Linked DNA regions of Ovis aries. The protein of the gene in region 2 interacts with the protein of the main gene of each other region in a biochemical or structural test. Links are inferred from orthologs where the notes say so. Each region holds a gene or a part of one and is shown on either strand. Other genes may lie near its edges.

The links.
Region 1: the proteins of KDM5C (region 2) and histone H3 form a complex in vitro, tested with the Homo sapiens proteins (3 studies listed by BioGRID, with this or other methods). The link is inferred for Ovis aries from reciprocal best matches to the Homo sapiens genes KDM5C and H3C15.

The regions. Positions count from the first base shown.
Region 1 is NC_056054.1:99,937,189-99,939,619, forward strand, and holds histone H3, read right to left. Parts: upstream 1,118-2,431; 5' UTR 1,101-1,117; coding exon 690-1,100; 3' UTR 640-689; downstream 1-639. UniProt on the Homo sapiens protein: Core component of nucleosome. Nucleosomes wrap and compact DNA into chromatin, limiting DNA accessibility to the cellular machineries which require DNA as a template.
Region 2 is NC_056080.1:51,102,734-51,106,558, forward strand, and holds part of KDM5C (lysine-specific demethylase 5C), read right to left. Parts: intron 3,519-3,825; coding exon 3,360-3,518; intron 1,607-3,359; coding exon 1,487-1,606; intron 1,361-1,486; coding exon 1,202-1,360; intron 570-1,201; coding exon 388-569; intron 302-387; coding exon 139-301; intron 1-138. UniProt on the Homo sapiens protein: Histone demethylase that specifically demethylates 'Lys-4' of histone H3, thereby playing a central role in histone code. Does not demethylate histone H3 'Lys-9', H3 'Lys-27', H3 'Lys-36', H3 'Lys-79' or H4 'Lys-20'.

The DNA.
Region 1 (2,431 bases), on a different chromosome or scaffold from region 2:
ACTCCTCTGTACTATTTTGGGTAAGTTTGGTTCTGGTTTTCGGAACGATACCTTAGCCGCCTATCCCCTCCCCCGCCTTTTTTTTTTTTTTACAGTTTGCGCCTTCTGTCTCACGCAGTTAGGAAGATGGGATCCTACGTATCTCGGGATTCTTGTCCCCATTCTTAACAGTTGAAGTACCGAGAAACTACTTGGGGACCGAGGATTTTATCTAACATCTGGCCTAATTCTAGTAACTGTAGAATTGAGCTGAAACCGATTACAGTTATCACATAATGACGGCCTTCTTCAGTATTCAGATTTGTGCTAACGTTTTGTACTAGCAGCTTGGAAAGCGCTAAAAACGAATAGCAGAGAATTTAGCTTCTTGCAAAGTTTTCTCAGCAATGGTTAGGTTCTCCAAAAAAAAATAAGGCTAGGTTGGAGCTCTGCATTAAGAAAGAAAACCAGCTTGTAAGCGCAGTTAAAAACGACCCAGACCTTGCTTCTGGGGCTCCCTCTAGTGTCTGTCAGCTTTAATTCCATAACCTCACCACTCTACGCGTGTTAAACTCTCCTACCCGCTTTGCCCGTAACACTCGTGCATTAAGAGTTCACCGACTAAAGTGAAAGCTGGTACAGCTGCTTTTTAAGAAAACGTGGGTGGCTCTGAAAAGAGCCTTTAGATCGTCTGTTTTTAAAAGTACGCCTTAAGCCCGCTCCCCGCGGATGCGGCGAGCCAGCTGGATGTCTTTGGGCATGATGGTCACGCGCTTGGCGTGGATGGCGCACAGGTTCGTGTCTTCAAACAGCCCCACCAGGTAGGCCTCGCTCGCCTCCTGCAGCGCCATCACGGCCGAGCTCTGGAAGCGCAAATCGGTCTTAAAGTCCTGCGCGATCTCGCGCACCAGCCGCTGGAACGGCAGCTTGCGGATCAGCAGCTCGGTCGACTTCTGGTAGCGCCGGATCTCCCGCAGGGCCACGGTGCCCGGCCGGTAGCGATGCGGCTTCTTGACGCCGCCCGTGGCCGGCGCGCTCTTGCGAGCCGCCTTGGTGGCCAGCTGCTTCCGCGGCGCCTTGCCACCGGTCGACTTGCGGGCAGTCTGCTTCGTACGCGCCATAGTATCTCACAGGTTTTATTCACCGACCCCCTAGGCAGTCTCATTTATAGACGTAGCCTAGTCTTGATTGGACCAGAAAAGCTAGCAATTTCCGAAATTGTAATCTCATTGGTTAGAATTCAATCCTATTTGGGCAGAAGATTGTAATGCTAGTTTCTTTACTTACAACCTCCATTTTCCAGTCCTTTTCTATAATCTTATCACATTTTTTTTAAGCCCTTTTCTTTATATTGCTGTTAACTTTCGTAAGAACAATCTATGAAGTATTTTTGCACGCTTGGGATTTATATTTTAGCAAGTTCTTTAAGAATACAAGCACGCCCTAGGTTTCAGCCTGCATTTCCACTTACTAGTTATTGTAACTCCTCTCCCATAACTAACATTTATTTAGCTCCTGATATTGAGCTAAGCGAGAGCTACATTACGACTGAGGTTCAACAAAACAATATGTAGTTGAAGGAACCGGAAATTAAACTTAACCTTTACCCGGTTCGGAACTACACCAAAATTGTGTGCTGATGCTTACCAACTCAGAGCCGTCTGCCTCCCCCCATCCCCCGAGTGCGGTTTTCTCCTCAATCCATCAATGCATAATTAGGTCCTATGGACAAAACGCTTTAAGTAAGGGAAAATAACACCGGAAATATTAATTTCTCCCTTACAATAGTGAATAGTTTTAAATAGTCAAGTTGCTTATTAGTCATTTAACGTTCAAGGATCAAAGCACATAAATTATTCGTTGATTACTGAGTTGCTAGCATATTTTCAATAAAGTGTTTCCTAATGCTTACAGTTTCAAATCTTTTATATTCTTTATACAGAAATTTAAGATCTTTTGCCTTTTGTTTCCTGTGCTTTGAAGAATTTCTCAGAAAATTACATATAATAAAACAAAAGTTATGTAAGGTTACCAATGCTTAAAATTTTAATAACTAACAAATATATTTAAAATATGCTTATTTGATTGGAACAACATCCCATATAAAAACTCAAACCTGAGAATAAAATTAGGCCCAAGAGGCTCAAAACATAGCTCCAAGGTATGATGATCACTTTCCTGAAGTTAAAAGTGATTTTGAGAGTTTTTCCTGAACGTTAAACACAAGGTAGACAGTATCTGTGATATATGGTTGCCTTAGAAGTCACCTTTAATAACAGAATGCTGATTCATATTAGACGTCTCCTTAGGCAGCAGCAATCGCCTGCCATAGGGAGAAGATCTAAAACATCAGTGAGAAAGTGTTGGTGATATGAACAACTGTTACCATATCCTGTGGTTATTTTGTAATAACGTCTTGTAGATACAGAGCACCGCTCAGTATTTTAAAATT
Region 2 (3,825 bases):
CATCAAACCTACAGTCTGATTAAGAGAGAATAAGAATGAGAAAGGCATGGGGGTATATTCTAGACAATGACCACCACCACCACCATACGGGACATCACTAACTCATTCCTATTCCTTGCCCATTTCCTAGGCACTCACCGGCACACCATGGGACATGAGGGTGTTGGGATTCATGAGGGTAACAAGTTGGTGCAGAAGGTCAGGCTGGCTATCAAAGAGCTCAGGTGTCAGCTTCTTCATCACCTCTTCCAAATGTTCTGCTGCAAGTGAGGGTACCCCATACCAGGTCTTCGGCTCACCCCTGGCCAAAAAGAAAGGGGACACGTAGAGTGGGCACTCAAAGAGCCCACCCTGAATGCTTCCTTGGCTGCCCAGGACCCCACTCACCAGTGGAGGTAGTTAATGGAGTAACTCCAGTGATCCTCAATATGCCAACAAAAGGCTGAGAAGACCATGCCCACATACAGCCAGGGCACCTTCATGCCAGAGATATCTGCATTGATGTGGCACAGTACAGACTGTTCCAACACTGGCATCACATTCAGGTTCCAACCACTCGTAGCATACTCCTGATAGGTCAGGTATTTGTGGAAAAGAGATGAGAGTTTTGCTAAGGTGCTGAGTTCTTTAGCCCAGGGAACCTTAATTTTGAGGTCATAGACCTTTCTGAAATGTCTAAAAAATACTACAGATGTTCTTCCCCCTGCCTCCCTCAAATGCATAGAAAAAATTTCAATTCACTTCACCTTACTTCAATTTTAGGAAAGTTTACAGATGTGCCCACTCGCCAAAGTACCTGCCAGTTAAAAGCCCCTGCTCTGGACCAAAATGTACCCTTCTTGCGATACAGGCCTAGGGCCTCTTTATTTCCTGCACTTAACAATCCCAGTCCCTGAACACGTCTTATGAATGAGCCAGGTACTCTGACAGGTACTTCAAATACCTTCTCATTTAATTCTTATAGAATTTGCGAAATGGATACTATTCCCTTTCTACAGACAAAAAATAGCCAATCTCATGGCTGGAGATGCCATGCAAGATACTAGGCTGTGCTCTTTACACACATCCTCCCATCTAAATCTCACAGCAACACATACGGCAGGGATAACAGTCCCCTTCCTATAGAGATACTGAGTCTTTCAGAAACTGAAGGACTTGCCTAAGTCACACAGCTGAATATAACCATGAATCATCTACTCACCTCCTCCTCAGGGGTTAGGTGTCGCTTACTGTCACTGACGGGGAACCCGCTACCAAATTCTTTGGAATGGATGTCAGCCCCATACTCAACAGTTACATCTTCCTCAATGCTATTCACCAGCCGCCAGAATTCCTTCTCCACAAGTTCTGTGGGTACCATCTAAGGAACAGGGGTAGCTGATGACTGTGGCTCATCACATCCTGGCCCCACTGACCCAGGTGAGCTATAGACCATCAGGCGCCTATGACCCTAGCCCTGACACTACCCCAGCCCTCCATCACCTACGTGTACTGGCATGTTGAAGTAATCGGCTTTAAAGGAGTCAGCCATCTCGCCAAAGCTCTGCAGAGTGTATTCCCGGGTAGCCTGCTCAAAGCCAAAGGCTTCAGGGGGGCGCTTACACTCCTGAAACCCAAAGGAGAACACGTCACCAAGGCAGAGGCAAAGAGGTGGAGAATCCCCAAAAGCTGAGCTGGAATATGGGGTAGAAATCGGGAAGGAGAACAGCCCTAGGTTTGTACTGAAGGCCCCTGAGGCAGGTCTCACATCATAGCTCTATCTTTTTCTCCTAGCACTTCAGTGCAGTTAAGTCTCTTCATTCCTCACATGCACTTCTACCATGCTTTCATCTTCTCTTCCTTCAGGACTTGACTATCTAAACCATGGGCTCTGATTTAATATGCTACGCCATGCTCTTCCGTCACTATCTTTCTTTCAAGACAAAATGTGAGCTTATACAGGATGCTTAGAGAAACTTTTTTATGCCGAGACTGGAACTACAGACCTGGGAAAACAACACTGAATATTCCAGTAGCTCGGAGGATGGGAAACAAAGACAACAACCCTTAGTGTCAAACTCCACACTTTCTGTTCTTTAGACTGTCTCATAAGACAGGACATATGTCTGACTCATTTTGTACTTATATTCATGGTTTTAGATGAGAGTTGTATGTACCCGAGGCAGACGCACCTTCTGCTCATGTCTGAAATCTAAATGTCAACCTGGTTTACCAGCCCAAGACCACTTAAAGAAGAGAGCTAAGTAGACCTGACAATCTTTGTTGTCTATGATACTATTGGCATTCAAACTCCTCCCTAAAGGAATCCCCACCACTACCAAGGCATTACACTGCTCCAGTCTCTTTCCTCGTGTGTGTGTATGTGTGTGTATCCGCGTGCACATGCATACCTGGACTCTATGACCACAGCTGACAGGGTGAGAGACTATCAACATCTACTCTCCCAGAAACCCAGGGAAAGATGTAGACGAGCAACCCAGAATTTGGATTAAGGTAAAAGGCTCATGAAATGAAACTGGCAGACTTACCAGGCCTCTTAGCCCTCACGGCTGCTTCAGGTGTTCTCCTCACTGCCTCTCTTGCACTAGGTATGTTATCCCCACATATCCTTACTCCTGAACTCCTTCATCCCCCAGTCTAGAAAGTCTGCCCAATGCTTGTAACTGAAGTCTACAACAGGGCAAACCAATTTAATTATCACAACAGAAGGAAAATAATAAATATTATACCCACATGATGAACCCTTTACAAGAAATCATACCCATGAATAAATAATACAGAAAAATGATTATAAAGTAACAAATGAAAGTACACAGTATGATCCCAGACCTGTTAGTTATATATACCCAACAACGAAAAGATGAGAAGAAAATACACCAGACTATTAACAATGGTTATCTCTAGGTGGTAAGATGATAGGTAATTTGTCTATTTTCCAAGCTTTCAAAAAGAAATAAAAAATAAAAAACTTGGAAATCAAAAGAACATTTTTTTCTTCATATTCCTGTCCTCCAAATCTAATTGCTGACACCTTCCCTGATTACTACTCTTAGTCACTTTCCTCTCCTCTGAACTTCTACATCTGAATTTCTAACACACAATTTAACATTTGATTATATGTCATCATATACAATCTAATTATGAACCTCAACTCCCCAGGTGGTCTGAGAGCTTCCAGAGAACACAGGCTGAATGCCCTCCTCTTCTTTCTCCCAAAGCTCTGCCCAACCTAGACCAACCTCAGGGACCCAAAACATAAGACTGTGGCTGAGCTAGGAGGCTGCTTTCAGTAAGACCAGATGAAGGAAGGCAAGGACAGCCTATGAGGCAGACATAGATTGGGGCTGGGAAGTCCTTACCGCCATGACACACTTTGGACACCGCCAGACACCCTTGGGAATCTCAGGCAAAGGAGGCAACAAGCAGAAGATGTGGTAGTTGTCATCACAGCCATCACACAGCAGGAGCTTGTCATCCTCATCCCCTCGGGAACACATTCGGCACACATATGACTCAATCTGCCAGGGGAGGGAGGCAACAGTTCATCAACCCAAGCCCCGTCCAGCCTTTCAAACATAATACTCCTCCAGACAGTATCCTAGTCCACAGAGATCTCTGTTAGAAACCCACCGTGCTTGATGGCTGGATCATTCATGGCCTTGTACAGGTTAGTCATGCTAGGTCAGGAGTTAAACTGCAAGCAAGAATCTCCCCAAATAAACTAATTGGTAGAGCTGTGAGAGAAGAGTCTTTATCATTCAGTGCTGAACTCCCCATTTTTATTCATTCAATAAACATTTACTGAACACTTATGTGTTCAACATT